Linked DNA regions of Drosophila melanogaster. The protein of the gene in region 1 interacts with the protein of each later gene in a pairwise test. Each region holds a gene or a part of one and is shown on either strand. Other genes may lie near its edges. The genes, in order: CG17508 and CG6800.

What was found.
Region 2: the proteins of CG17508 (region 1) and CG6800 interact in a two-hybrid assay, tested with the Drosophila melanogaster proteins (one large-scale study listed by BioGRID).

Annotation. Positions count from the first base shown.
Region 1 is NT_033778.4:5,599,820-5,617,187, reverse strand, and holds CG17508 (uncharacterized protein), read right to left. Parts: upstream 8,554-17,368; 5' UTR 8,473-8,553; coding exon 8,391-8,472; intron 8,176-8,390; coding exon 7,699-8,175; coding exon of another isoform or gene 7,673-7,698; exon of another isoform or gene 7,194-7,672; intron 7,125-7,193; coding exon 6,932-7,124; intron 5,997-6,931; coding exon 5,783-5,996; 3' UTR 5,602-5,782; downstream 1-5,601. Other genes in the region: Fis1 (Fission, mitochondrial 1), read left to right, coding at 12,434-12,478, 12,538-12,605, 12,672-12,720, 12,777-12,944, 13,176-13,288, 13,427-13,448.
Region 2 is NT_033777.3:21,766,347-21,782,014, forward strand, and holds CG6800 (uncharacterized protein), read left to right. Parts: upstream 1-9,791; coding exon 9,792-9,992; intron 9,993-10,045; coding exon 10,046-10,430; intron 10,431-10,492; coding exon 10,493-10,643; intron 10,644-10,695; coding exon 10,696-10,867; downstream 10,868-15,668. Other genes in the region: Burs (bursicon), read left to right, coding at 3,205-3,334, 3,399-3,523, 3,582-3,848; GABA-B-R2 (metabotropic GABA-B receptor subtype 2), read right to left, coding at 4,183-4,802, 4,864-5,330, 5,388-5,490, 5,556-5,901, 6,314-6,550, 6,617-6,727, 6,790-7,153, 7,214-7,509 and 4 more; Polr1H (RNA polymerase I subunit H), read right to left, coding at 10,943-10,967, 11,032-11,251, 11,303-11,420; tsl (torso-like), read right to left, coding at 12,006-12,857, 13,206-13,415.

The DNA.
Region 1 (17,368 bases):
GGAGTTTAATTATCTTAACTTTGGTTTGTCCAGGTTTTTTTTATCATAGCATAGTTGATCCTGTCCATTCCAGGTGTGTTACCTTTTAGTGTGTTTAGTGCTGCTGAAAATTCTAGATATGTTAAGGTTTTTAATTTTCTTAAATGTTGTTACGTGAAGTTTGTTTTTGTTGTCTAAAGGTTTTGGACATGTTGGTATAAGAGATGTTTCGGATAAGTTTTAACAGAAAAGCTCTGCTATTTGTAATTTGTGGTAGCGCTTGTGTTTGTGGAAGGGTTAAGGATGCTGCGTATGTGTTTTATGGGATTAAGACCGCAGAATCGCGATTTTTAGTAGTGGGTTGACGAAATGCTTGTAAGTGTGTTGTGTGCGCTGAATTGTGTTGGTGACTTGTCATTTACTAAGATGTAATTAGATTGGGTGATCAATTTTTCTAAAGTTATGCCTCTAGTATTGTTGTTGATTGTGCCCCCGATTTTGTGCCAACCGTTAAAATCTCCAGTGAATACGTGAAGTGTCTAAAATATATTTAATATAATTCTAAATTTTATCCTGGAATCGATTTTAGTACATCAAAGTAGTCTCTTAAGGTTATTTAACGAGCTTGCAGGAAATTGTTTGTCAGGACAGCTATGACCCCATAGAAATCAGATGACTTTTACTAGTCACCTGACCGGTCAATGCGTTTAAAACGTCATTGATGGGTAAGGGCTTCCTTAGATTCTTCCATGTCTAGGATAAATTTTTTTTTTTTTAGACTTTATTAAGGCATACTGGGTAGCTTTGTCACCTTGGGCGCTAATAATTCAGCCCTTTAAGGGGCGCCGGCTAACAAAAGTTAGCTGTAACAAAACAATAATACAAATATAACAATTAACAATATAACAATTTTAGATCATCATCATATCCCGGCTCTCGTCAAGGGGGACCTTATGATAAGGTCCTTCGGCTGTCTCCTGTAAAGCCTTCTTTGTGGGCGAGCTCTGGAGAGCGCCTTGGCTAGGCGATTTCTGTGGCGCTCTAGCCTGAAGTGGTACGGGCTGGAGTGCATGTTTATTGCCTCGGAGACAGTGGCTATCTTGAGGTCTTTGTGCAGGGTTGTGTTTCTTACGTACCATTCACAGCCGGTAATCGTCCTGGCGATTTTGGTTTGGGCAGCCTGAATGCGACAAATTTGGCTATCGCAAGCCAAGCCCCAAATCTGACAACCAGACCTCCATATGGAGCTATAATTTGCTTGAAAATTGTCACCTTGTTGGAGAGTGACAATTTACTTTATTCTGCATTCTTACTTCGAATTCTTAATTTTAAGCAGGATACCGGAGTGCCACACCCGATCGAACGCCTCACGTACATCCAGGAAGACTGCGTTGCACTACTCCTTGTTTTCGAAAGCCGATAGGATTTGCTAGAAGTTGCCAGTCTGGCTGCAGCCTTGATATTAAGGGTGAGAGTGTCAACAGCTTCTTCTAGGTCCCTTTCTGAGTTTATCGGTCTGCTGCCTTTCACGTATGCCCTGTAAGGCCTGTCTTCTTTTATCTGGTAACAGTGGAACTCATATTTTTCGTTCTCGAGCCAGTTGACTACGCTGCGAAATGTGCCGCCTTAGCCTCAACGTTTTTAATGTCCACTATTTTATCGATGCTCTGCATCATCAGACATACGTTGTCTACTCCCTCCATTACTATAGGAGGTGGAGAGCGCCTTGTTGAGTGAGCTGGTGATACCAGCGGAGGCTGCATCCCGCTTAGAGGTAGCAATAGCAGCTTGGTGACTGGTACTGGGTTGGTCACACAGATCGCCAATATAATTGCCTACTTCTTTGTCGACTGAGAGATGTGCAAGTAAATCAAAATGGTTTGTGTGGCCGCCATAGCTAGGTTGTGTTGACGAAGGATTTTCACCTTGTTTGACGATATTGGATTTCGATTTCTTCCTGTCAGTCTCTGGAGAAACACGAGACTGCGGCAATTTGCTTCATCAACGTAAAGTCTAGTGATAATTGCGATGGACCATTATATTCCATTTTCCGTCGTGATTTATAGCGACACGAATTTGGCAATTTTAAGGCACACATGTAAGTACACAACAAATCAGCAGGGTCCTAGTCAAGACTTGAATCCTGGAATATATAAGCTTTAAAATCACAAACAGCTGTTTGTGCGATCGCGTGGCAGCTGGGCATCTGGGCGATCGCGTGGCAGCTGTCTGTCTGTCTGTAACTCTGTCTTTTTTGAATAAAAATGTTTACGTTTCACTATTATTTCACTGATAGTCACTCCCTACACTATTTACGATATGTGCCAGTATTCTGGACTTGTCCATAAGTTTTTACTGCGAAAACTAACTTCACTTGTTCCACATTTTCAGCTGCGTATTGGTAGACACGAATCATAAATCCGTTTTTATTAAATGTTAAATTTGTCAATCAACTACAAAAATCGGAAGGGCGTGGAAGCGTTTGGGAAAACTACAGCAGTAACGGTTTAGTGGTTTTGTGAATATTGCATAAGGGGAACGACCAGAAGCCAATGACAAATGATCAACAAGATTCCATAGCTGATCAGCTGTCAATCGCAGGAAATCCTCAAATCTTGCTAAGATCGGCAGCTAAAAAAGATTCGGAACAATCCGATCAATCAGTGGTGGAGGCAGTCCTGTCTTTCAGTCCATTTGTCTGCACTGGTTTCTCAATCAGTGAATACACCTGTACCGGTTAGTTTCCCACCATAACTGTCCTACTGTCTCCTATCAAAATGAAAGAGGCTTGCGTAGCAATACAACTAAAATGTATTCTGATAGCCTTACCTCTGCACCCTATATTATTGTGTTTACAAGGACTTGTCTTAAGATAGCTAAAAAAGATTCGGAACAATCTGATCAATCAGTTGTGGAGGCAGTCCTAACACTCAGTCCATTTGTATGCACTGGTTTCTCAAGCAGTGATTCCACCTGTACCGGTTAGTTTCCCACCAGAACTGTCCTACTATTTCCTTTCAAAATGAAAGAGGCTTGCGTAGCAAGCCACCTAAATAGTATTCTGATAGCCTTACCTCTGCATCCTATATTATTGTGTTTACAAGGACTTGGTTAAAGGTACATAACTCTCAAGTTTTTTCTAGGTTTGTCCACAACACGAATGATCCGACCTCCAGACGGGTTGGTGGTCTTAATTGCGGTTACGTATACCCTCACAAAGTACAAAGTATACCCTCATATACGCTGTAATTTTCCCACGTATTGTGCTTATACATTCCGGCGTCTTTTGAATTCTTACTTTTGGATGATTCCCGTACCTCGGAATTCTTATTTGTAAAGCTGTTATTTTTCCGACAGATCAGAATATATTTAGTGCTCGAATATCCCGCCACCTTCTGAATTCCCAGAATATCAGAATTTCCACTATCCAATCCGTCTCAAATATACTGTCAGATAGGGACCAATTTGTAGTTCTAGGTGATGGCACTACGTGGTCCCCAGAAGAAAAATCGACTCCACTTATCGTTGTCGCAAGTTAACTTTATTCTAAACTCACCTGGATTATTGGATCCTACTTTTGAGATGACAATCGACATAAACGAATTCATTGTTTTCGCAAGGCAAACTTTCTGACGCTAATTAGTTTTACATCTGGCTTTAATTGGCCCGATTCTTACTCCTACAACATAATGGCGGATGCCATATATATTTTTATAACGAAATTAAATTATTTTGTAGCTCTTGTGTTCTGATGTACTATCCGTCAATCTCTAACAAACTTCCTTGGTTTAATAATGAGTTGACTCACCTAAGAATTGAAAAGTCCAGACTTTAGACAAAATTTAGTCTCAGTCTATCCTTTCTAAATATTTAATTGCTCGGTTAAATTTTACTGTGCTTAATGCTTAGTGTTACAAGAGCTATTTATACCATTGTAAGTTCCAGTTCGCACTAAATTCGAAAAGTTTTATAATTTTGTTGACACCTAGCGCAAAACAATTTCTCACCCTGCCTCGTTTTCTTTTTTTTTTTTCTTTGAAAATACTACGGTAACATCGAATCAGGCAATGGCAGATCTATACGCGGTATTAAAGTCGAATTAAATATTTTATCCCACTCTAAACGGATGCTCACTGCTTTACGATCTTAAGCGCGTTAAGCCTGTCTATTCTCTAGGTTCCTACGGATTCCCTGGCTGTGTGCTCATATTGTTCTCTGGAATATTTAGTCCGCCCAAATATGGCAAGAGTCCTTTGTGATCCCCCTCCATAAAAAAAAGGAAAGAATGATGCAATCACCGAGAAATCTCTCAATTGTCGGATATACCTCAGCTTTTTTAAATTTGCTATCAAACCTCACCTTTGTAGGTGCAGACAACCTTTTGGAGCTAACTTCCTTCGTCATACAGGTCTTCAAAAATAGTCTTCAAGCAGATGTCATAACTGACTTTAGTAAAGCACTTGACTTTTAATCAACATAATCAACATGTTGATCTTCTAGATCACAACCCTGGTCCGCTCCTTCTTATCCCCTTTTAACTAAGACTTTTGCTTACAACATTCGGGTGTATTTATGTACGCAGACAATATTAAATTATGCCTCCATTATAAGGACATTTCTTGCCCCATTGTTCTACAGTCTGATGTAGATAGCTTTTAAATATGATGCCGTTGTTAGACAAAAATTTGTGTCTGCAATACTCAGACAAAGTTAAAGGCAGTGGACATTGAAAGTAACTTCGTTGGTTACGCAAGATTGCAATAAAGAGTTATATTTGTGAGCTGTTTCTGCGGTTTCATGGTTGTTGCAATGCAAATTCTGGAAACGTAACCGCTGACGCAAACAGGGAGACATTTTTAAAGTGCAAGGCGTCTGCAATTTATAATTAAGTGGACCATTTAGCGGACTCGTTATCGTTTGATGAGTTCGTTCTTCGTGAGAGGTGGGAGCTGATCGATGACCTTTAAAAAACATTTAGAAAAATTCTCAACAAGCTCGAAATACTTGATTTGCATGAACTCGAAAGTGATTTGGCTGAGAAATTTGACATGGTCGTAACGCTTAAATCCTCTATACGGGAGGAGATAATCTTTTTTGACGGCATCCCTCCTAATGAGTGTGGCCAACAGCAGCGTTCAGTCCCGTAATCATGAACCGCCGCTTCCCCCTCTTGAGCTAACAAAATGCGCTGGGGGCTATGCTAACTTGGTCAACATGAGTTCACATACCAGCATGCTGCCGTAATCCCAAATGCTTCGGCCAGGGTAAAGGACAGGTTGCTCGTGGCGCAACAGAAATCCCAGGACAACGGAATAAGTTCCTTGGGAACAGGACAGCAGAATAGGACGCCCGGCATGCCAGGCCACTCGCAGCAATCGCAAAAACAAGAAGAAGTTAGCAACCACCGCCGCAACAGGCATCCCAGGGCGGCGTTCAATTTCCAGTATTGCCAAAAGTAGTACCCGTGGGAATGTTATAGCCCCCTTGTGCAATGCCACAGCCACCTTCACATGGTGTGGGTCAACAACAGGGCCAGGGGCCACTCAGCGACATGATGTTTCATAAGCCACCGCCAATCCCGCCAAATCTTCGCTAAACCCAATAAAAAATATCGTTCAAAATCGCTTTATAAACCTCGTCTTTTCATTGCTTTGAATAGCTAAGCAAATAATTTCTCATTAGATTAATCTGCCTAGATGGTAGTAGTACGCTTTTCCTACAAATAAACATTTCCATCTAAACTTTAAAAAACAAATTATAAAAAATGAAATCCCTTATTGAAAGGACTTCATTGTTCTCAACTCTAAGTATTTTTTGGCTTTGGTATTTGCGATTTCTTAGATCGAATATAGCGTACAACAAATGGCACAGAACCTAACGTGATACTTATTCTAGCAGGGGCAAAGACTTTGTGTACGGCATACGCAACAACAAAGGTGCTCCCCGTTGCCACTTTTTCTACAATAGCGGGTGATGCAATTCCAATACACTCCAGAGCTGGGACCAAGTTTATGCCACTGTGAAATAGAGCAAGAAAAGCATAAAACATGTAATTAAAAAAAAAAGGGTTCCAATGTATTATATTTATAACAAGAAAACATAGGGCCAACCAATTTATAACTTTCTATATTTCTATATCTTTTCTATATCTCGTAACTTGTAGAGTAGAAGGTTATTTGTTGAAAAGTATGTAAAACGATAAAATGTAGCTCATGTAGCTAAAATTTGCGTGGATTTCGATTTTGCCATTCAAAAAGTGTTGATTAGAAAAAGATCAGAAATTTGGTTAACGCAGTGAGGTGGAGCTCATTGATGTTTTCGATGACGGTCCGATTTCTGCGTGCACAGGATACTCGAATGCATGGTACCCCTAAGTATTTACATTTGCCTTACATTAAGAATATCTTTGAATCATTCAAGGTGATACATAGTGCGATTTGAAGAATTTTTGGTACACTCGTATTAATCCTTCAATTGCAGTTTGTGGTACTTTCGATGCGTTGGCGTCGCAAAATAAATCTTTGTTTTTATACCCGTTACTCGTAGAGTAAAAGGGTACACTAGATTTGTTGAAAAGTATGTAGCAGGCAGAAAGAAACGTTTCCGACCATATACAGTATATATATTCATATATATATTCAACGACTTTAAGTTTTTTCTCATTTTATTCACCAACATCTATCGATATCCCACAAAAATTATGAAATCTCGCGTTCGCATTTCCACTACATGAGTATCGGGTATATGATAGTCGGGGAAGTCGACTATAGCTCTCTCTTGTTTTTCAGTTTATTGTAAGTCTGAACTGAACCGAACAAAATGATAGACAGAAGTGCAAACGAGAATGCTTCCATTAGTCTGTTAGATATAACCTTTTGCTCTACGTGTAAAGTACAACTCGGAAACACAGTATTGTAATTTGGACAGCAGTCTAATTGTAGTACCACCTTACCTTGATACAAGCACATAGAAACCGGCAAGAGAAATCAGTGAAATTCCTACGTGAAACGCAACAATTGGCGCTCCATATTCCTTAAATGCCCTCTTCAGCTGCTCACTTTTACTTAGTTTTGCACCTGTAGGTGTTTTTGTGGAAGAGTTTTGCATAGGTGATTGGGTGCTATAATATCTTCGATTAAACAACCCTGTAAAATTAGTTTAAAATATATTTAGGTTATGTGTTAAGAATGCATATAGGAAAAACACCATTTCATACAAAATATATCTATTTTATTTTAGAGTTATATACCCATTACTAGTATTTTAAAACGGTTCTTTATATTCGATGAAAAGTATCTTACAGATAAAAGAAAAGTGTTTTAGACTTGAATCTCTATCAGGATCGATCTGTTCATGTCCGTCCGTATGAAAGTCCAAATATTTATACCTCAAAAAGCTAAAAAGATGGTATTCGAAAAATACGTTGGGCATGCCCACTCCAAACACAATTGTCTATTTCACACTTTGTTTCGGTTTTCTTGCAATTTAATAAATTCTTTGGTCAATTCTAATTTCTATATAATAGGGTTCCTGGGAACTGAAAGCCAATCCTTAGAATGAGTTCCTGATATATGCAGACATGTAGATGCATTTCTAATTACAATGTTATATACATATATATATGTAAATATATTGTATACATGAAAATATTCATATACGAAAAAATGCTTATACAGTTACATATTTTTACTGGTTACTTTTTGAACGAAGCTTTCTCACCTTGGTCATTCGTTTTAAGAGTAGCATTCTGATCGTAAGTCGCCCAATCCGCTCGCAAACTTTCGCGAAGACCGCTGTAGTGAGAGCACTGCATGTTTTGCGCTGTAAACTTGAATTCCTGGGACCATTGTCCGCCAGGCATGTTCAGATGAGAAAACTTGTTAAGCCCCCCAAACGGTGTTGGTACATTGCTTTGCATCGCGGAATTAAGACTGATCAACCCGAAACAATCATAGGACTGTACATGTGGATCTTGACAAATATTTGGATCGCTTAGGACTGCATGAAAACTGTTGTCAGTTGTGATATCAATGCTTGAGATTGGTGCTTGTGCATTAATCACTGTAGACGAAATGTCACGCGAGCGCTGGGGGGAGAATCGAGTTGTTTCCGCAGAGTCCACATTGATTGGAAGGGGAATTGAGGCTTCATTCACATAATTTCCCATTGCGACACTTAAGTGCAGTTGTTGAACAGCTTTGTGTGTATGGAAGTAGATTAAAATATACAAATATTAGTACTAATTCGTATGAACATACATACATATGTATACGTATGTGTAACTATTGCGCATTTAATAAAAAATGTGTGCATATGTATAAATGTACTTTATACTATTTCGTATAGCTACAGATGCATACATTATCTATGTACCTGCCTATTTTAGACGGCGACAAAAAAGCGTACGTTACCTGGCCATCTCTTACTAAGAAAAAAACAATCACGTAAAGGTCCTTTCAGCACCGCAAACGTTTTGCCCGTTGTGATGTACATTGTATTTGGCAAATGCAAAATAAAAGCTTATTCTGATTAAACTTATCAAGCCGACTAACCAACCCAACTACAAGCAATTGCTGTAGACCGATGGGAGTGCAATAAGACATTTATCGATATTTTTCGGATAAAAATATTTTTCTATCGTTATAAATTAATAACGTCTTTTTCCATTTCATACAGTTAAAAGTGTGCTTTAAAAGTAGCATTCCAATATCCTTTATATTTTATTATTATAAAATTATTTTATTACAACAAACTTCTTATATATTTATTGTTCACCCGCAAATTTTCTACATTTACAGGTTTATATCAGGTATTTTATGACTTCAGTTACTTTCTTGTGTTCATGCTTCATAAGAAGATATTTAATTATTATACACTTCCCACTGTTACCTAAAGTATACATACCTCAAAACTGAGACCAAGAAGTAGCTCTTAGATACTATTATTATGATTATTTATATGTATATTGATTGGTTAATATTCCGAAAAGCATCCTTACGTGTTATATATCAAGAGTTGGAGAATTGGTAGAGCTCTTAATAAATTTATTGATGAAAAAGGGTTATGTTTTTATTTCCATTAAAACTTTTACTATTAAGGTTGAAAAAAAGAAATCGTTAGACTCGTTTTTGTGATATTCACCAATAAGTGGTTGTTAGAATAAAACAGCTAATCATTTTACAACTTCGTTAAATTTTTGTGATTATATTGTATTTTGTCAATTTTTGTCTGTGTCTTCTGTAAAAGGCTTACTAACATCCAATGAAGTTTCTATTTACCAAGACTTTTGTCATTTGCTAAAGCAATGAATATTACGTTACTGTCAGATGGCTATACCATTAATATCACTATTGTTTGATAAAATTCGCAAAATAAAAATTGAATCTTCTGAAGGAGCTGTAACGAAATCGAGTCCACTTAGAGTATCGCAAGAGCGTTTTAATTCATTGCAAAGAACCAAAACACTGGTCAAAACATCTTTGTTAGATCCACGATTCAAAAAGGTATATCTTCCGCCCGTCACATCTAGTGAAGGATTTTGTTTTCGAACTCTCTCAAAGCAGCATTAAAAAAGTAAGAAATGTTTTTAAATGTTGTAACCATTACTAACACCGTTTTAAATAACCCGTTACGTGATTACTAAATTTATAAAATAAACCGTAAAAATGTAATGAAACCATTTATAGATAAAAAATAATAATAACAATCTAAATTTTTAATGCCGTATTCACTGACCTTTCCGACTGGGAGCTCATTGGATGACGAACATAAGGACTTCAGCAACGAAGGATTCATTAAGGCTCGTAACCGATTAATCACAACGCGACGCATGAGCTTAAACTGTTTTCGAGATTACCATTCGCGTCTTGGGAAAGTGATCCTTGACTGTTTTGGAAAGGACACCGAAAATTACACTTTGTCTGATCTTTCTAATTTGGCAATAAGCTACCTTATTATGCCAGATATCTAGTATACCTTTTTACTCTCAAGTATCGGGTATAAAAGGAAGTTGAGATCGAAGCGAGATGCTTATCGGTTGCAACATTTATGAAACCTACCAATTCTAGACAAATTTTGTAGTTTGCAGCTTATCTTAGGTCGTAGTTCGATGTTCAAAGTCAAATCAAAAGTTCATATCGACAGGCGGATAGACAGACGGACAGGCGGACTCATTTTTTTCGTTCAGATTCAAATCAAAAAATCCATACATGGGTATTGAACAGAAAAAGCAGGATACCGTTAAATAAATTTGTGAATTAGAACCATGATCTTTTTCATGTTTACTTTACTTTGCTACCGAGTTTGGTTTTCTTTGTGATTGGCGTTTCATTTTGAGGGTTTGTGAATAAAAGGCCAAACCAGCCTAATTGAAATTTTGCGGTGTGCCTGTGCAGCGACTGCTCGTTTTACGCTGTGGTATTCGGAGGGTGAAGCTTCACCCTTCAAGCGGCGTTGCGACTACTCCATGGACAGCTACTCGAGGCTCGGCTGATAAGGGAAAAAGTAATAATAAATAAACGGATATATGAGTCGGCAATAGTTTTTCCAATTGCCGCGATAATAATCGACGTGAACAACAATGGTCTTTGTCCTGGTCATGCTCCTGCTGCTTGGGTGCCCACATAAAGAACAATCGCGAGCACGCGCCCAACGAAAATTACAGGATCATTTATGGCGAACGGGGCAACCGCCTGGTAGCAGTCTCTTGGTAGCACCCGCTGCAAAAACAACCCCGTGCTGACACAGCGTGTGTGTAAACACGTCGCAACAATTAGTTGCCCTTAACGAATCGACGGCGAACCGTCGTCTTCCGGTCAGGGTCCCGGAATGACATTAAGCTCCGATTAGTCACTTTCAAGTTGGTTAGGAGCCAAGCAGCTGCCTGCCATCCGCAACTCTCGCTCTTATTGTTGGTCCCCATATCTGTATTTGTCGCACAACTTTGTTGTGATTACGGCGATAAAGCGGCTCAAGTAAATCACAATAATACGACGGTCTAGTCTGGCCGACTCGGTTCGAAAGAAAGTGTGAATAGAGCCGGGCTCAACAATCAACAACAATAGATTCGCCGGACCGGACCATCAATGACAAATGTCTCTAGGATTATGAGTGGGCATGTGCATAAAAGTCAAAAGCAATAGAAATAAAAATTGTGTTCACGTCATGGGACATGTCAACAAAAACTGCCGAGAAGCAATTGCGCGACACTTTCTTGGGTGTAAATTAAGATACTTTATACTGGCCCTTGGTGAGGACCAAGCTGGTGGCCAGCTTGGGTTTTTGTGTATCACTCGATTGTATTTTGCTCTTTGCATGCGTCAGCTATATATTGAACCGCTAGCATATTCATTGATTTTCGAACAGTAATTCTGCAATATCATTGCCTGTTCAACTTCGTGGGACTAGCACAACCCATCTCTTGCCTCCCCGCACCGTCCCGCGAAGAAATGCCGTCACGTACGCGAGCCCCATCGTTCAACAAATAAAGAATGAACCGGATCCTCATCGTAATTATACTGATGCGTTAGCAAAATTGCTGTCAAATTATAGGAGGCCAGCTCTAAAATCGAGCGATCTTTTGAAGGTAGGTAGGAAATACGAAATTCAGTGGCCATTAAAGTTAATGATGGGTATTTATTTTCAAAAAAGCTTTTCATTCTAAACTCTTTTAGGGGTATATTAATAAGAGATTCCGACCAGCAGTGTCTTCATTGCATTTATCTTCATATTTTATAAAGCGCACATCGAGAACATGATAAATATTATTTCATAACAACTATTTTTATAAACAAACTTTTTTAAGAAACTCTGAATTGATGGAACCGAGATACATAAAAAACGGACTTACACCTTATCTATTCACAAAATACAGGAATTTGAATACTAAATTACACACATTACTCGAAGAGTAAAATGTTAAAGTAGATTCGTTGAAAAGTCTGGATCAGGTTCAATTGAAATGAATTAAAAAGAAATCAACAATTCGTTGTTATACCCGTTAAATGAATAAAACAGGTAACACAAAACTTTTCCTAACACTTTATTGAGGATCAATAACCGAGTCGGTATTGAGGAGCCAAAGAAGTTAACATTTTTTTGTAAATGCATTTTTCTCTGATCACAATTAATAATTATAACATCAAAAATTTTATAAAATCAAACTAAAGTAGTTAAAATCAAATACTTCCGTGAATTCGCTAAAATTTTTGAAACTCCAAAGCTGAATTTTATTTGGCTTAATTAAGAACACATGCTATTAACGGAGTACCCCTTATTAAATAGTCTCAGTGGCAATCGAATATAAGAAGGAACACTAAAAATGTGAAGGAAGTCGTTCTCTGAGAATTGTATATAAACGGTACGACTAATCCTATATTTTTAGAATGAACGGCTACTCTTGGCGTTAAATTCTCTGTATATAATTTTTGTATTTGCTAACAACATTTGCCAAACAATGGAGGATCTTTTAAACGAAGTTGTACCACAAGAAGATTTAGAAGTAAAAAATATTATTTTAGTTCTGATTGTTATAAAATAAATATTTTGCATTTGCTCCAGAGATTCGAAAAAAAGTATCATCACGAACTTGAGTTGGATGGTGAAGTTACCACAGACACAAAGTTTGAGTACGCATTCCTAAATCTAAAAACATTAAAATATCTCAATTCTTCTCAATTCTAATGACACAATAGGTACGCATTCTGTCTGGTCCGAAGTCGGTACACAAATGACGTTAGAAAGGTGACTCACTTTTAAAGCTGTAAAGATGTAAAAATATTATTTTATTTATAATCCAGGGAATTATGATTTTGGAGGAACTGGCTCGTACGCATCCAGATGGAAGGCGTGACTATATATATTATCTTGCGTTTGGTAATGCTCGTATCAAGGAGTATACGTCTGGCTTAAAATACTGCCGAGCTTTTCTTGACATCGAGTCAAATGATCAAGTTCGCTCCCTAGAGGTTAGTAAGGTCACTAAGGAAAGCAGCAATTTCTATATAATCTCCAATAGATTCAAATAATTTTTTGATCCAGAAAATTTTTATGACAACCAAAATCCCATGATCACAAAAGATGTGTCGTGTTAAATGTACATATATAATAATGAAAAACATATTCATGTGATCCTCACTAATGTACATACACTAAAATTCAATGTACGAATAATTACTAAATAACTTTACATATTTCAGGAATATATTAAAAAAGAAATCGATAAGGAAGTGGCAAAGGGTATGGTGGTTGCAGGCGGAGCAGCTTTAGTACTTGGCGGAATATTAGGACTTGGCATTGCTATGGCTAGAAAGTAATATTTTATACCAACACGTTTTTAACCGACAATGTTCTTTTAAAAACAAGCAGTTGAAAATTAAATATTTATGATTTAAATTAAATCTACATTGACTTAATTATTAATGCTATGTGTACATTGTTTATTTTTTAGTAAACAAAAACGGGAGAAATAGTAACGTCACCACTATTTAAGGAAAATAAAACATCGAAAGGTGCACATCAAGATGTTATGAAGTTTAATACTTGAAATATGTTAATTTACTACATCAACATTCTAATTAATCTTTATGTACGGTTAAATCAATAAATTATCCAATTGTTGCTTGTAGATCGTGTGTGTTAATTACATATGTTAAGGTATAGTGCTATGCCGACTCCGCTGAATTAAACTCCAACAATGCTTAAATCATCGGACTTCTGTTGTTTTTAGTCCATACAAAGAAGAACTTCGAAGGCGTAGTCTACCGAATCATCGCCCCGGCTGGGTGCAAAATAATATGATCTCCCTGGGTCCAGAAGACTGACCTCCAGTAATCCAAACTACTCTCTACTCCTTTCTAGTGAAATTGTATTTCGGATATTTTTTTTTAGACTCAGGATAGGTAGGATTAGCTAAGTGTTCCCATCTAAAATAACTATTTCTTCATGTCGCATATTTTTGTGAGTACGTACGGCTTTATCAAAATCGTAACACAAGGAACAGCAGATAGCCTTGAATAAAGGTTATGGGTGGAGCGCAGTTTTATACTGAATTTAATTCGGAGACTAGCTATATTTCAATAGTGGTAATACTTTGGACGTTGATAGGGGATATCAAGAAAGCACGCATTTCAATCCGGCTCTATCTCGTCAGCGAGTGTCGTGGTGTTCTTTTGAGGTTACAGCATTTGGGTGCTCATTCATATCTATGTGAATTTAAATGATAGCTATGGAAAATGATAGATAGGGAGTTTCTCTCAATGCACAACCCACAATGTCATTGGGGGGTGATAGTTGCTCACCCTGCCATGGTCCACGCGATTCCAAATTAATTATGCATTTGGCCGCTTTTATCCAATTGGGGTACGGAAGTTCTTGGATCAGCATGTAGTTTAAATTGGTGTTTCTACTTAAACATAATTTGATTTTATTACTGATCTATTGATTAATATTGATATTTTTTCATTCTATACCTAACCGTTCTAATTCCTGTAATAATTCTACACTTGTTCGTCTTCCGTTCGATATCATTTTCATTTATTATTTACTACATATGATACTCGAAAACATTAGGTAATTTAAAAGTAAGACTTTCTTGGCTCCATTGCATAAATATTTATAAAAACATTTAAATTTAGTTTATTTCACTTCAATAGACTTACGCAATGATTAGGTTTTAAATTTGAAAACAAACAAAAGCAAAATGAGCATACATATGTGGACATTTCGAGCATACGTTTGGTTATATATTGAACTGCCAGACAGTTAATAAATTGGTTGGTCATTAAAATCCACTAATGAAAGAGATTCACCTTATCTTATTCGGCTTACTTATTCGTTCGTGAGCAGTAAACTGTAAATCTTCTTTTTAACCAAGCTCTCTATCTCTAAACTATCCCAAACCTTTTGACTTCAATATTTGATTTGGTTGGTTTATATGAGCTCATTTTGCGTAAAGTTTGGGATGAGACATATTTTTAATACAAATCAACTAAAAGTGTAAATCAAAATCACTTTTCATCCAAGCCATATGGCCAGGAACTTAACCCGGATTTCTATCCGAGCCCCGCTCAGTATAGTTATTAGAGGCCCACAATTTTTTTTAGTGTTAGTTAAGTTTTAATTTTATTTCAAGTAATGGTTTTGTTAATCTCCCTATGTAGACGATATAATAAAAAAAGCCTTTTTAAATCTTCCAGAAATAGGATAGGCCAAGCGAAGATCCATAAATTTGGGTTTGCAAAGGAGAAAAGAAGGGTCCGCAATGACTTATGGAATTTTCCCGTTGGACGATGAGTACTGAATTACTTTAAAGATATGAAAAAATATTATAACATATTTGTGCGGTAGAGTGGCAACACAGGTCAACAAACTTGCTATGCGTCATATCTTGACGGACGGACGGACAGAGGGAGAGGGTCACATCGTCTCGGCTATTGATTATAATCAAGAACATATATATTTTATGTGATAGAAAACGCTTCCTTGTGCCTGTTACGTACTTTTAAACATATCTAGTATACTCTTTTACTCTACGAGTAACGGATATAACTAGAATCCAGTCAGAAATTGAAGTGTCTGTGCAGGAGCCACAGAAGTCGGTGCCAGTGTAAATATTGTTAATAATTTTTAGTCACCAAAATGAATACAGAAATTAACCTCTTAAAATTTAAATACTGAACTCGGCTGATGTTTCTCCGGAAATAGGGCACATAAGAGGCCACTAGAGCCTTGCTATTAAGGAAAGTGGTCATAGGTAGGGTAGGGCAATCCGCAAACACAATTACACCGGTGTTTCGCCAGTAACAGTTGTCTCAAGCTTTCTTTCGAATATAATAATTATCGATCTTATTCATTAATGTCCGTAGCGAAAAGGTATCTGTACAAGCAAGACCACCAAACTCCTCGCCAACGAGCTAGAACCGAATTCCTTCCATCAATTTATTTCGTTACACGTTACGACAGTTCGTCAGCCGACTATCTACTCGAAGAAGTCCAAATTAGTAAATGATTGGTGAAGGGTGGCTATGCCATTCTTGTAAGGACTTATTGTCATTTCAAAAATGGTCTGCTAAACCAGATGCAATCAACAGATGCGCGGAATATCTTACGGACATCACCCATTATAAATTCGTCGGTGTCGTTCCAGGCGACTATGAAGGTTTTATATTCCCAACAGTCAACAGTCACTCAAACATTCTTTCTTGTTTTAATAAACATAAATGATTTTATTTATTAATTCTAACATTAATCTTACTTTTCTATCAAGTCTTGATCGTCGACTGCTTCTGGGACTGTGAAAGCTGTGAAAGTTTAAGAAGCCTTTAAGAGTTCACTGACTATCAGATACACGTTACGCAGATGGTGGAAATGCATACTCGAAATTTCATAATTTTTTGGGATATCGTTATTTATTGGGAAATTAAAGGAGAAAAAATTTAAAAATTGTTCAAAACTTTGGGCCTGACCGTTTCAGGCGTTTTGTAGGTATAGGTAAAAAGAGTAGCCGAAGTGTGTTCGGTATACCGATAGAAATTGGCAAGGCAAACAATAAATCTGGGCGGTTTTGGGAGTTGGAGTGGGAGAAGCAAAAATTTTTTTAACAAATCTTTACAAATTTACAAGACTAACAGGAATATAGGAAAAGATCGAATCGGCTATTGATCCTCATCAAGATAAATACTTCATTATGTATACTATTTTAACTATTTTAACGTAAATAGTATCTCTTTTCCTCTACGAAAAACGGGTATAATAAGCCTAATTGTGTTATACATTTCATCGCGAGTACTAGTGTAGCTGTTTACTGCTGATGAAAGCGAATGCGAAGGTCCTCGCCCTACGGGATAGTTAACATGCCCCCTCTCTCCGACCACAGGGAAACAACACCGATCCAGCAAACGAAAAAACGGAGACGAGCAAAAAATTAAACGAAGATCGCCAATACGAACCCGAACGAAACCATTTTGAGGGAAACAGACAACTTTCGTAATAAAGAGCATTCTCATTTCATACCCTAAACTGCTCAGTTCTTTTTTTTCCTTTCCTCCCTCGACCACAGGATTGTAACTGGCGCAGCCGGACTACAGACAAGGGATTAACAATGCCCACTACGCTTATCGTTCAAATTCTAAAGTGGTGATGAACATGTGACGGCAGTGGTTGTGGGAATTGTATTAGTGTGTAGTGAAATAAAAAAAAATAAGATAAAGCGGTTTTGAAACATAATGACGTGCAAGTGCAAATAAAACAAAAGAAACAAACAAAATCAAGTACAAATTGATTCACAGGCGACCGTATAGGTGTACATCAATCGCTGATAAGGCACCGGGATCATCCATACACCCTATCTCATAAAAATGGTAAATTAATCAAAAACAAAACAAAAGAAGAA
Region 2 (15,668 bases), on another chromosome or scaffold:
TTTGAATCTGAAAGTTCTTCTTCAAGTAATTCGGGTAATGTTATTACCGCTGGAATTGCAAGATCGTGGAGATCCTCTTCTTTTATTTCTATTTCTGATTCTCCTACACTTTCGATATCCTCACCGATCTCAGCCACTATAGGTGTGCTTAAAATCGTTGGGATTGTAATATTTAAGTTGTGTCTGTACTTGACGTTTAACAAGTTCTCACGGAACCTGTTTAGCAATTTTACTGCTTGTGATAAATGATTTTTTGTTAATCTTTTCCTTTCTCTGTAAATTAATTGGCGTGCTCCATTAAAGCATCTTACCAATATCTGCGCATGCTTGTTGAGAGTGTCTTGTTGCACTTCTCTATTTGGTGTCATGCATTTATAAGACTTGTCAAAAGTTGTTTTAATTTCTTTAAGCTCGTTTTGTATTTCTTGCCAGTCCATTTAAAGAATACTATGGATTTATCTATGCAATCGAACTTTATAAATTTTGGCCTCTCTCAAATAGGTTTCTTCAATAATCTTTTTTTTTTTTTCATTCTAGTTTTCTGATATTAAAAATAAAAATTTTAGATCATCTTAATTCAAAATACATTTTGGATGTTTTTTTTTTTTTTTTTTTAAATTTTATCCAAACTATTCTCTGCTTTGCCTATATAACGCCTCTTTATTATCTTGTTATGCTTAACATATAGCGTTAATATAAACTGAGCGACTGTTACGATCGTCATGATCAAAAGGAGTAACCACAGTGACTGAATGTCATCTGTATGGTCGACTATTTTTAAGTTATTGACCACATTGGCCGTATTATCTTTTGTCTGACTATCGTCAGATCCAAACCAACCCATTTTTGTATATTTTTATTTTTTTTTGTTTTATTTTTGGGTTTTGGTTTATTTTACTTTAAAAATATGTTGTTTTGATTTTTTTTTTTTTTTGTTCAATATAGTTACATTTTCCTACCTAGTTGGTGTATGGCTTTACGGGCCATTCTTCTCATCGGGCAGAAAAAGTTCCGCTCAATGTTACAATATTTTGTGTAATATTAATATGCAGCGCAGTGCATCGAGGGTGGTGTGCCACGCAGGGCAACAAAAAAAAATATTTTATTTTTCAGCTCCTATTTGCTTCACTCTGACCCTCCTTGCGTCAGCTGGACGTCGCCGGGGTTGGCACGCTGACACTCCCTCGATGACGTAATGAGCGGGCTGCTCACCACGTTGATGATGATTTCCTCATTTAGGGGTTATGTGGTGGAGCTGCAATGTCTGCACGTATGTTCACAATGCGGTGTGAACAGTGGTCCCTCGCAGTCGTTCGGGCATCTTTTCTTGAAAACAGGCAGGCTTTTCGGATTGGGAGTTGGAGTTTTGTTAATTGTTAACGATTTTATTTGATTTTCTGAGTGAGCGCGTGTGGTGGGGATTTTTTTCTTGAGATATTCGACACAGTGGTCTAGCTCAGCTTGTAGTTTTTGAGCTTTCGACCATTGGGGTGGTGGAGTGTTCGTATATAATAGCCACTTTATGTGCGCTATTCTCTTTTTTATATTATGTCGAACTCCGCCCCTGTTTTTTCCCATCACACTGACACTCTACTCACTCAGATCGCTTTTTTCTTCATAATTGCCGCCGTCTTGGTGGATGAGCATCGAAGTTGAAAATTATCACAAGCGGTTTCCTTTAGCTTCTGCTACAACTTATAACGATCCTTTGTCACGGTCGCCATGTAGTTAATTAGAATTCCAATACTTCTGATGTAGTTAATAAAGTCTCAAAACGCAGTTGGTCATTTTATCTTTATTTGGTTTTTATTAAGCGAGCGTACATTCCAGATCTATTCCTGATTTATAACTGATCTTAGTGTGGTCTACAGGCAGATCTCTTGTGACAGCCAAGTGCTGACACTAGCAAATTCTGCAATATGTAAGTATGTAGTTCATACTCGATAACCAATGGGAGTCGAGTGCGACCCCTAAAGGCGTACATGCTGAATTCGCATATTTAGTATTAGGGTGTATCTAAAGATCTACTAGGGTGACCCTAAGGAATTAGGGTGGTCCTAAGTTTACTTATTAGTCGACTTATTATTATGATTCATATTATAATTATTATTAATATTATTATTATTATTGTTATTATTATTGTTATTATGTTCGTATATACTACACTCCGCTGGATGTGGCCAATCGCAACAAACTGATCAAATGGCTGTGCAGATACCAGGCCAGCAATTGCAGGCCAAAGGTTAACGTTCAGTTCGTAACAGGTCATGAAGTACCATCGCCGGATTACCGGGAAACGTTCTATTGTGCCGCCAGTGGTGCCGATTACAACTCATACACCATGTTGTGGGGTCAGTATTATTTGGAAAATCGCACTAGCGAAAAGAATATGCTCTGGGCTGCAATCAGCTGCACGAGAGACTACGAAACCCATTACCACAAGATGATCATCTCTGGTACGGAAAGTGTTGAACAAAAGAAAATTGGTATCGCCCGTATGTACGAGGAGAATCCTGACTTGGTTCAGGCAATTTTCGAAATGATTACCGAAAACATTATGGAATTAGCGTATAAGTGAGTTATTTTTCATAATTTGATCATCTGAGAGTGTGGTTTGATTGTTTATTGAACACTTAACCTTGTCGCTTTTCAGCTTCCAGAGTTGGTCGGGACACGGCCGAGGTGATCAATGACATGGCGGAGTACTTCACCACCCGGGAGCAACAGCAGTTGCTCAAGGAATTCTACTACAGCAATCACCAGTTCTTCGGTGAATCGGAAGAGCTGCTCTCCAAGTCCCTGGTCACTGTGGAAAAAAACCTTAACTGGGCGGAAACCCATTTGGAAGGCTTAGTAAAATATCTGGCGGACAGAAATGGTAGCTCCTGCCTGGGAGCCACTTCCTTGGTGGTGGTTCTGCTTTTAGCAGTGGGCAGCATGTTGGCCTGGCCCTGATTAGCCAATAAGTTGTGAGGGAAATAAAGAGATTGCCGTGGTCGTGCGCCGCGGGAGAAATGCCCTTTTCGTGTACGCAATTACTAGGCAAAAAGGTTTGGACGGCCCTTGCTTTATTAGGCCATAATTTACGCTGTCGAGCGGCCATTAGAGCGGCATCCGCTGGCCAAGTTGGTCTATAAAAGCCCGGCGGCTGCAAGTGGCGTTTTCCATTCCACGTGAAAGGACACTCGCAGTCGGGCCGACGAGATGCTGCGCCACCTGCTCCGCCACGAGAACAACAAGGTCTTCGTCCTGATCCTGCTCTACTGCGTCCTGGTCAGCATTCTGAAACTCTGCACGGCACAGCCGGATAGCTCTGTGGCCGCCACGGATAATGGTATTTGATAAGGCATTTGATAATATCATATTATTCGCTCTAATGGATTCCATTTACCATCCAGATATTACGCATCTTGGCGACGATTGTCAGGTGACGCCCGTCATCCATGTGCTCCAGTATCCTGGATGTGTGCCCAAGCCGATTCCCTCGTTCGCCTGCGTGGGTCGCTGTGCCAGTTATATCCAGGTGGGTGTTGATATACTTGAAATATAAATTATAATTTGATATAATCTGATGACTTTAGGTTTCGGGCAGTAAGATCTGGCAAATGGAGCGTTCCTGCATGTGCTGCCAGGAGTCTGGTGAGCGGGAGGCAGCCGTCTCGCTATTCTGTCCCAAAGTGAAGCCCGGCGAGCGTAAATTCAAGAAGGTCCTGACCAAGGCGCCATTGGAGTGCATGTGTCGGCCATGCACTTCCATTGAGGAGTCTGGCATCATACCACAGGAAATTGCCGGCTATTCGGACGAGGGTCCACTCAACAATCACTTCCGGCGCATTGCTCTGCAATAGATTCCCCCATCAGTTTAGCACTCATACCCATGCCCATTTGCTCATTAAAATAAATTAGAGTTGCCGTTTCTGCTTGTACACAGTGAAAAATGTGCCTCTGAAAGCTCATGCCAGTGAAAGGGAAACATCAGCAGATATATGATTATTTTAAATTGTAATTTATTTCCCAACTATCTCATGTCATTGCTACTAGTTCACTAAATGGTGTGTGTCCTGCTTCACAGGGTATGTATGTAGATGCGTAACTCCAAAGAAAACAAAGATAATCTTTACACTGCAACTGGATCTAACAATAGGAGTTTAACTACGGCATAATGCATATGACTCGCGCCGCCTACAAGTACTCGACGATATCGCATTTGATGGATATATTCGGACAGCTCTGGCCCACGGCACTGCGGCCCCGATAGTTGGGACTCTTCTCGGTGAGGAGTTTCCGGAAGATGGGCAAAATTGCCGTCTCGCCCTCGAGCAGTTCCGTCTCGCTGCTGGCGCCGTAGATGCTGCTATCCTGCTTGCCGCGCTGCCTGCTCCGCTGCTTATCGGGCGCCACATTGGGCGAACTGTGGTGGTGGGCGGCGTGCTGGATGTTAGAGCTCCGGCTGACCTTACGCGGCTGGACGCACGGCTGACTGTTGGGCGGCGGATCTCGTTCCCGTTCGCTGTCCGTCTCGCTCTGGCAAACGGTGCCCTTTTGCGGTTTTGGCCGATGTTTGTTGCGGTTCTTCTCGGAGACGGACCGCTGGATGGGCGAGGTGGTGTTCGGGTCATAGGTCATCCCGTGGCCGCCATGATGTTCCGCACAGCGCTGCGGACTGGCGTAGTTCCGCGGCGACTGGCGCTGCTTGGCGTGCGACAGCGTGTGCGTGTCCCAGAGGTCACTCTGTGAAACCACGAAATTGGACTTCAGAGCGGAGCCCATGCTGGTGCGGCGATGGTCGGAGGCAGTGGGAGCTATTTTCGATTAGAAAATCGATAGTATTATAGTATTATAAGAGACGCGCAGAAAACTTACTCTTAATCACAGCCGGAGTACTGGGCTTTGAGTGTGGACACATGTTGCTCAACTCCGATTGCGATGTGGAGATGTTGGTGGAGGAGTTCCGGTGCGAGCTGCTGTACTTTGGCCGGGCGGTGGGCGTCTGGCTGCCACTGTCGTAGTGCCTGGAGGCGGTCGATTGACGCCTCTCCCGCATGCTGGAGCAGTCTCCTCCGCTCCGCTTGCCCGCCGTACTGGTGATGCTGCCTATATTATCATCGGTCTGAGCGGACACCGAGTTTCTCTTCTCCAGATGGCGATGATGATGCTGCTGCTGCTGCTGTTGCTGTTGCATCTGCTGGTGTTGCTGCTGCTGCAGGTGCTGCTGCTGCATCTGCTGATGTTGCTGTAAGTGCTGCTGCAGTTGCTGCTGGATGGGCTGCATCATAGTTGGAGCAGGGGCATGCGAGTGGTGCTCTACAATCGATTGCTTTTTCTTTTTGCTGTTGGAGAATATCCATAGATTAGAGTGTATTTAAGACCAAAATTTAAGAACTTACGGAGGAAGCGATGGCGCCATCACTGTAGACTGCACCGACACAAAGGAGTTATCCATCTCCACATGAGTCGAGGTCACACTATCCACGGACGTCATCTCGGTAACTTCTATGACAAACGGGTTGCAATGCATGAACATATCTACGAAATCCCCCTCCTTAGCCACTCACCTGTGGTGCTGGGCATCTCTCGACGCACCGGTGGAGCTGAGAGCCTAACAATGTCATCGTTCAGTATGGGCTCCAGTTCGCTACCGACGTTGGAGCCACCTGTGCAGGTCACCCCATCGATCCATTTGCGTGCCTCGGGTCCCAGCTTGCGGATTAAGGCCTGCAGCTCGTTCTCCTTCTCCATCAGCGCCTTTCGGAATCGGCAGTTTGTGTTCTTTACATCTCGCAATCGTTGCTCCAGTTCGCACACCGAGGAATCCCGGCGTCCGTTTTTGGACATGGGTCTCAACGTGGCCCTAACGCGTTTGTCCACCACGCCCTGGGGATTCCGCTTCAGCTCCACCAACTGCAAAACGATTCGCATGAATATTAACCAAAGATTATACTACGCGGTCAACATCTAGGAAGGATCAACTCTACGGACAGTAATATAGGATAGTTAAAGATATTCCAACAGCAAGGAAGTGGGATTTGCCTACAACCTTGCTGCTGCTCTTAGTGGGTTCTATATAGTTCAAGTTTATAGTTAGTCTGTAGTGTTATATAGCATTTTAAGATCTGTTTTCGAGTACATGTTGTTTCTGTATCAAGGTGTATCAACGCTAGACGAAAGATCAGCTCAGCTGGCGGTAAAGTACGATCAGTTAAGAAGCTCTAACCACAACTGATCGGCCTATTACCGCCGACAAACAACATTCATATTACACGATTATTATATGTAACATATAACAGCTACAAAAACTACAAAACTTCCTTACTACCAGTCTTACTTTCGGTACGAACACCAAACACAAAGTGGCTGTCGTACAAAAAATGATAAAAAACGAGAGTAAGACAAAAACTAAATCCTTTCGATCCGATAGCACCAGGGATATAGCCGCTCCGGCCAGACAAGTGATGAACACGTTATAAACGGAGAAACCAATATGCTTGGAATCGTTCAGAGCCGGTATAGAAACATGTCGAGTTTCCCAGGCCAAAAAGGCGCCAAAAACCTATTGAAAAAAATTATTGCTTTATTATAATGATATCTTACAAATTAATGTTTATTATATACTCACCAACAACAGTCCCTTGTAGGCATAAATAATGCTAACGAATATGGTCATGTGCTCAGACTGGCAGTACTCGTTTTCGGGGATCACCAAGACATCATCAATATTCTCGTGATGCTGTAGTTAATAATAATCATTTTAGATTTTTCACTTCAAATATGTTCTATCAATGCACTCACCAAGGGTTCCAACTGTTTAGTTTCGCGGTAAAAGGGATCGGCAATCTGCCAGGTGGTTATAATGGCTATATCAATGGCCAAAAGCACGCCCACAACCATAAACAATTGATAGTCCTTGATCACCTTCTTATTGAGCTTCAGATCGGTGAATATCGAATGCACCCGCCACGTCTTCGAGAACATGGCTCCAAAACTGAGACTGAATCCAGCCATCAAGATCCAGGCTCGAGCTGTGCAGATATAGGGAAAAGCTGCCACACTACTTAATGTGGTATCGAGACCCAGGAAAATGATGCTCAAATAGGTCATCATACAGCCCACAATGATCAGATTGTTCAAATGGGGACTGGACATCTTGATGTATCTATAAAAACATCAATATTTTATTAAACGAAATTGTTTAATATAGCATTGTTAAGCTCACCTTTGATTGCGATACTTAATGTTAAAGGCCAGAAAAACTGTGGCAATAATCACTCCAATGACCGAAGCACTAGCCGATACAATATATATGGTTGGATTGACCTGACTGTGCTCGATGTAGATCAAAGTGCGATCCTTGGGAGGAGTTTTCCCCACCCATTTGACTGGTTTTCCCAAGCTTAAATCCAAGTGTGACTTCTGTGAGTGGTATTCCCCGATCTTTTCCATTTGTCCCAGCTGAAACTGATTGATCAGGATGTTGGCCTTGCGCTCGTTGTTGTAGAAACGCACGGGTCCCTTGAGAATGTAAAATATGTTTTAACTGCAAAAACTGGATTGTTTATCTATCTACCGTCACACCCTCGAAGGATGTATTACGTAGAGCCTCAAGGAAGACACTCTCCCAGTCCTTCACGCGATAATCAAAATGTGTTAGCAGATCCTCTCGCTTTTCGGCCACATACTGAATGGCCAGGGCAGCTGCCCAGATACCATCGTAGGTATAGCCATGAAAGCGGGAATATTCAGTGCCTCGCAGTCTGTCGTACTCCACAAGATACTCATCAGCAGTCTAGTAAAATATGAAATTTATTACAAGAATTTTAATAGACTTTACTGGTACTAACAATGCCAGCCACTGTGATGTCACCACTGGTGGACAAGGGCAAAAGATCCACTAGAATGGCACCTTCCAAGGCTGTAGCGATCTCCTCCACACTGCACTCGCTGTCCTGCGTGACATTCCACCAATCCGTGGAATAGGTAGCCATGATCAGCCATTGATAGGCTCTGCCATACATATCCAATCTGGAAGGGAGTTTATTGCAATAATTTTAAATTGAGACTTAAGTTAGTATATCCAACTCACTTATAAGCCTCACAGAATGCCTTGCGTGCAAAGTGCTCGTTAAAGTTGCCCAGAATGATCCTCACGTCCTTCTCGCGCAGTTTCTTCAATGATTCAGCCACATCGTTGACGAAGCTCTGCGTTTCCACCACCTCGACCTCCATGGCATCCAGGTCAGCCACCATGTGATTGTGGGGCAGCGAATAGCGTGGCTCATTCTGGTAGACAGTGCCCACTCTGGTCCAATTGAACTCCTTCAGCAAGGCCAGTCGCGGCGCATTAAAGGCATTCTCCGAGGGTACCACGCGAAAGAAATTCGGAAACGCATCCTTGGTGAACATGGGATGGGTGTCCGCGTAGCTGAGCTGGGTGAGGTGCCAGTGCTTGCTGGCCTTGGCTATGGGATCGGTCACATGGGTGCACGCAGCGCCGAAGAGCATCACTTTATTGGGACCCGAATGCATCATATCGAAGAAGGACTTTACGCCCACAGCAGCATTGCACTGGAAAGGAAACCAAAATTACATTCCAGAATATATGGAAATATGCATAGGTAAAGGTGTGATATTACAATATGAACCAATGAACATTAAAAAAAATACCTAATTGAACTTTAAAAACCACAAGTCCATCATCAGAGATTCACTTAATGAAATCTTCAAGCTAAACCCTAACTCACCTGAGTGTCGTTCCACCACATGTGCAGCCTGTAGTTGGCCAGTATCTTTCCATGCTCATTAACGTGACCCAAGGCGAGCTTTACACTGGGCATAACGCCCCGACCGGTGTAGGAGTTTTCCACGCCATCCCCGTACGGGAAGAATCCCGCTATGTAGACGTCCGATCTCTTGGCTGTCCTGCCACAGGCGGTGCTCCAAAGGAGCAGGAACAGCAGGCTGGCGAATGGAAACCAACTTGGCCGGAACATGTTGACCGCGTGGGCTGTAAAACGATTCTAAATGTGAATAGCGCATATCGAGGACGTGAACTTGGAGCCAAGTTGTGGGTGGTGAATGGCAGTGGTTGGTTTCGGGTGAGCCAAGGCTGCCGAGGCAAGGCTGCGCCCAGTGGGTGTGTATTATTTTCTACGTTCTACCTGTGTTTGCTGGCACTCGCATGCAATTTTACAGGACAGGTGGAGCAAGGCTAAGGCCAGTCCAGGCCAGCAAAATTGCTTCAAATTGCTGCAGCAATGCTGGCACGTTTAGTAATTATAAAGCAATTTAATGATCTAAAGGATTCGTGCATTATTTAGTATGCTCGTTAACGCGAAGGAGTATCTTCCAGGTGTTGCATCCTCTTAAATCTTATGTGTACATGTTTTTAGGAACCTACCAGCTTGCTTAGTCCCAGAACTGGCTTTTATTTCACTACCGATGCCATTTGAAACACTTATTTTACATCAAATCTCAGCCAACGAAGAACTTTTGCAGTGCGAGGGTCCGAAAAATTATGTATCCCCCTGACTTGACATTTGTCTGACAGGAGGAATTCGAGGCAGGAAGTGCGCATGTCCTTAAACCGAAAGCTGTCACTGCTCCGCCTTGGCCTAGGCTTTCCAACCCCCGTAATTACCATAAACCCACTGCGCTTGTAAACATCCTGCAACAGGTGGTCCCATCAGCTGGTACTCCGGCAATTGTTGTGCCCGTTGCCATGGACTACTGGGGTCGAAAAACGAAGTAGATAACTGCTCGGAAAATTACCAAATTGAAAATTGTGAGTAACCATAATGGAGGACTATGCGCCCAGCCGCTATAAAATGCTTGAGAAAATCGGCGAAGGCGTCCATGGCTGCGTGTTTAAGGCCATCGATCTGCAGCGCAACAAGGAGGTGGCCATCAAGAAGGTGGCCCTTAAGAACAAGTTCGGAAACATAGCCCTAAATACTTTGAGGGAAATCAAGACCCTGCAGCTTTGCAAGTCTGAATATGTAGGTATACCATATATCTATTTTCCATTTGTTAATTATGTAACTAATTGTAGATTCTGGACATCATTGATATATATCCTGACCTAACTGGTCTCTCCTTGGTGCTGGAATACCAGCCGGACACTCTGTACAACCGCCTCAAGAGCGAGGTTAATCCCCTGAGCCGCCAGCAGGTGCGTAAGTTTGCACACCAAATGTTCAAGGGGATTGCATATCTGCATGAAGCGGGTCTCATGCACCGGGATATTAAACCCGCCAATCTGCTTATCAGCGATACAGATATGCTTAAGATTGCCGATTTCGGACTGGCCCGTCTGTACTTCCCTGAAGACGAGTCGCGCCTTTATTCGCCTCAGGTCTCAACCCGGTGGTATCGAGCGCCAGAGATTCTATTTGGCAGCCAGAAGTATGGAACCGGAGTGGATATGTGGGCGGCAGGTTAGCCATGACTCTTTGATGGGTTTACATATATCCTTATGGCTGACATTATTGCTATCCAGGTTGTGTTGTGGCGGAGATGCTACGCGGAGTGCCCCTGTTTGCGGGAACCACCGACATCGAGCAATTAGCCATCATCATTCGCACTCTGGGCAGCCCACGTCTGAATCAGTGGCCAGAGCTGACTTCTCTGCCGGATTACAGCAAGATACGGTAGGCATTCTTACCGTCTATGATTACTTAATCCGTAATATTCTTGACGTAGGTTTCCCAACTCCGTGGGCATTCACTGGGACAACTTGTTTCCCAGCTGCACACATGCGGTGGAAATCAATCTGGTCTCGAATCTGGTGGTCTACAATCCCAAAAACCGACTCAAGGCCAGCGAGGTGGGTTCTGCTTCAAGTTTGACACCGGTTAGGTATTATAATTGGTAAATTCTATATTTCTCAGGCCGTCGAGCATGATTATTTTCATTAATCTAGGACTATTTACACGGACATTGCTAGCAACTAAGAGTTTTCGGATTCTTTGAATCTGCAAGGTAGAATGTGTGTGATTAGTTGTGGAAGTGAAGGAATATGTTTATCAGGACACCTACTTGCACTTAAGGCAGGTAAAGAACACCGTCTGGCCTTCGTCCGCCGATCGAAGCTGCAGGGTGGCATAGGACATCTTGTCGTGGTTGCACTTGGGACACTTCCTCTCCACAACGGGGCCATCCGCGTCCGATTCCGACTCCCTTTTCGTCCTGTTGAACACCTTGCTGGGATCGTAGGTGTTGAAGTGTATGGTAAACTCGGACTTCTCGCCGCTGTAAACTATTTTTAAGTGTTAAATAAATTAAACAAAGTTGTAATTTCTGGATTTACCATCTGGCTGAAACTCCTTCTTGCAGTTGTAGCAAATCACATTGCCCTTGACTTGAAGCTCGGGCAGAATGGAGCCGCAGGAGGGGCAAAAGCCCGGACAATTGGAAAAAATATCCATGCCAGTATATATCACCCAAAATCAAAATCAAAATACAAAAACCGCACGTGCTATTTCGGATTTCAGTATGAGCGTAACTGAACCGTTTGAAATATACCACACGGTATTAAAAATATACTTGATTCATATACTAAATACGTAAGGGTGGAAAACTAGAATAAGTCTGGTTGAAAGCCTTGATGAAACGGGTAGAGCCGTTTACCCGTTTCGATTACCGGTTCTTAATCAAAATCAATTATTCAAAATAAACTTTCAAAATAGTATTTGATATTCATAGCCAATATTACGTAATGAAAACAGTTAGATTTTAATAGCCAATATCAAGTTATGAAAACAGTAAGATTTTTACTTTTATCTTTACTTTGTATTAAAGTTTACAAAACTATTACATCAATAAGGCGATCTTACGGTCTAGTTAGCTGAAATGCAAGTCGGATGTGTACTGTGTTCCAATTAAACTACCTAAAACTATCACAGGCAGAACATTAACTACGCACTAGAGGTTCCTAACTACAACTAAGCATCTAGGAACTATTGATCCTTGGCTGCCACATATCGCACAGTATATATATATTTAAAATGCAGCTATCGGGTGGGATGACTCTGCGGCATGTTAAGCTCCCAGAGCTTCACATTGTTGTCGAGAACCTCGTGGTACCAGCTCTCCTTTTCCGGCTCCTCCCGGAAGATGGGCTTCAGCGACTTGAGGTCCAACTGCAGTATGGCATCGTTGCCGAGCAGCGAGTCCAGGGATCGCAGTAGAGTACTATTACCGTGCAGTTTCAGCAGGGTCACATACTTGACCACATAGTACTCGTACTGCAGCTTCCTTCTCGCCCATCTTTCCACTGTAGCATTGGCACTAGCCGATCGAATCTGGCCCAGATGGGCGGCAAACCAGGGCGCAAAGTAGTTGTAAAGATCCAACTTGGACAGTCCGTTCAGACCTTTACTCTTGATTCGCTCCTTGATCATGCTGTAGTTCTTCCTGCTGTACACAAACACCTGATACAGCGAATTGCCGGTGGTGTATGAGTTTACGTAGTGGGTGCCCACATCTTCCATAAATCGCACTGCGGAAGTTATATTTCCGATTTGCAGTTGATCCATTCTCGATCGCACATCCGGCTCCAAGGGTTGGTGCACCGGAATCTCAGCGTTAAGACGCCCCGTTTCCCTGAAGCGCACCACCCTCACCAAAACATACGAGTAATCGCCTTGGATGAAAGATGTATTGATGCCCAGCTTCTTGGCCGCATTATCCGGAAACCATCCGCCAGTAAATGCCTCCCACGGTTTGTCCATTCGCTCAATGGAAAAGTCACGGAAGTAGGCCTGGAACAGTTGCCTCCGATTCTCGCAGAACTCCATGTGAAAGTCTCCATGAAAGATTCCGGGCGTGGTGTCTTCATGACTCTCCGCCAGGCCACTCAGATTCTGAAAGAAAAAAATCATTAATTATCTAATTGTCTAGTCAGCTCAATTATCAGGTAATAAATATCAAGTGACATACTTGAATAATCGTATATAATGATCGTTTTCCTAAATCTGATCAAACAAATATAATAAGCGCTCATTCTAACGACAAACGTGGCGGAAGTGAACAATATAATTACAACTAAAAATAGTTTTAAGTGATAACAACTTTAAACCCTATTTTAAAATTTTGATTATACTCCAAATAATTATGGTGATTGTGGTTAAAGGTTAATACAAACAATTCCGAGTTCATCAACGCCATTTAATTTATTAAATGTAAGCTTAACTCTGCCTTAAGTCCCTTACCCTATAGATGTTTTTGGTGGGCTCCTTAAACACCCAGCGATCCGGCTCCGAGTTGTCATTGAGCGGTATCACACGCATGGAGATTCCCAGGTAGCCATAGCGCAGGAATATATTGATGGCCTTGCCGATCCGGAGCTGGGACTCGCGACGACCTCCATCCGCCAGGAGCGCCAGGGTCAGCAGCCAGAAAAGGCCAGGCCACGACCGCATCGCTCAGCATTCAAGGTTAGATCTATAGAGGATTATAATAGAAATATTATATTGCAAATTTAAAGCGATTACACTTGAATTAGGCAAACGTTTCCATATTCCATATCCATATAATCCCTTGCTATAAAATATTATTGATTGAAACAAACGCAACCTATTCCGATCTCTTATAAAATTCGCAATTTAACAATAATGAGGCATATCTATCCCACAATAATTTATTCAAGTGACTAGATAACTCTTGATTGCAATGTGCATATTGATGACAAGCAAGTACAAACAGCGCTATACCATCCGAACTCATTACTCACTTAGACTAAAACCGGAAAGTTTTACAGCAAGCTACTTCGGTGGTTTGTTTATATTTTATAGCCAGTGCAGTAGTTGCGATACAGTGGGGTTAACTAAACAGCAATAATTGCAGGGCCGCCGTGTTTGTTTTCCACTCCATAAACGGGCGATAATATAAGCGCGCTCTAATTGGCCATGAACCTTCAGTGGCGCTGAACTTGAACCGACCAAGTCGACTTGGGTAGAGGCCACCAGCTGGTGGTGATGATGAGCTGGAGCTCTGCGTAGCTCCACTCTGATCACCTTAAGTGGATGCAATTAGCCGCAGGCTCTGTGGCCGTAAAAGCAGCTACAAAGTATAGCCATCAAAATTGGTTCGGCTGTCGCTTTGACTTGCAAATTATTTCCTAAAAACATTTTGCATGCCTCGTAACCGTTTTCCTATAGTTGGCCCACTACACTTCAGAGGACCGGTTATGCCGTTTTTGTTTTTTTTTTTTTTTTTTTCTGTCCAAGCATTATGGCCGGCAAGGAAGCCAAACAAATTGGCCCAAGCCAGACATATACACACATTCTAACAGCTTGGCGAGGCAGCTTTTAATTCGAGCCGTTATCACAGAACGAGCGACGTGTTTGATGGGCCAAAAACACAGAGGTTAGCCGGGTGTTAGCCACGTTTGTGAGTCACACCTGTCGACCCGACGCACTGAAGCGCAGCACCAGACAAAAAAAAAACACAAACGCAGCCATGATGAGACTCAAATGTTAACCATTTACGTGAACCATAAAATGTAGGCGTCGCTAAACTTGTCCAGCAGCAAAAACTAAACAAAAAACAGCAGGAAGAGTGACTGAATGAAACTAGCCGTGAATGGAACAAAGAAAAAGAGACATTTGACTACTGCATCTTGTCTATACTTGCCTATAGTACATATATTACTGCCCATGGGCGCGATTCCAGGAAATATTTGTTTGCACATTTTATAAACACATGAATATTTGCTAAATGCTGCAATCAGCTGTCTTGACCTTACAGATGAACCTCACAGATTGCAATCACTCTACGGATTTAAACATTCTGACTCGGCATAGAATACGATTTCGAAGGCTTCCAACTTCTGGCAAACAACTAATGCCCAAATGAGCTTAGTTCTCCATCGCGAGACCCAGAAAATCAAACTGTCGCACAATTGCCAAACTTGAGGTTCAAAATTTGAGATCCGCTTGAAAGGCATGTGTTATGTGACTTAATGATAGTTAGTTTTGTCGGTGGGGGTATTGACAATAGCGGACGCATAACCTTGTGCAAAAGACCCCAAAAAAAAAAAGAAGCCGCGAACCGGAGTTCGAGATGAAGAAGACGAATTAAATCAAAAATTCAATGCGCGCACTCGGACTCCAAAGCAAAGGCAACTAAAAATCAACTCGTTCAACTGTGACTCCCTGTGCACTGGGAGAAAAGAGTGTGGCTATCTAGGACTAGAACTGAATAAGAGAAGAATCAGTCAGCTCTTAACTCCTCTTTTGAGCTATTTGGAATCTTATTCCAATTGTTTATGCTTTTATCAGATTTAAATCGTTATTAGATTTGTTATTTGGCCTATATTTATCCAATAAGATTTTATAATGTGTATTTTTCTTGGACATCCTAAAAAACCTGCATACATTTCTCTCAGTGCTTCCCACCGTGGTTGTCCGCGGCCCAGTCAATTGGAGATTCTTTATGCGCATTTCATGAGCTCTTTTGTGGTAGTAGTCTGGAGTAAACCCCGGGCGAAGGGCACAGACGTGGGGCATAAGGTCTGCAGTTTATATCGCGCTTAATTTTATGCTTGGTCCGTGTGCGTTGTTTCCTTGAGCGGTGTTAAACAAAAGTTGTCTTGACTGCTGCTGAGGTGCTGCTGCTTTTGCCACTTTTGTGGTAGTATTATTTACCTGCACGAGAACTCGAACGCGAATCGA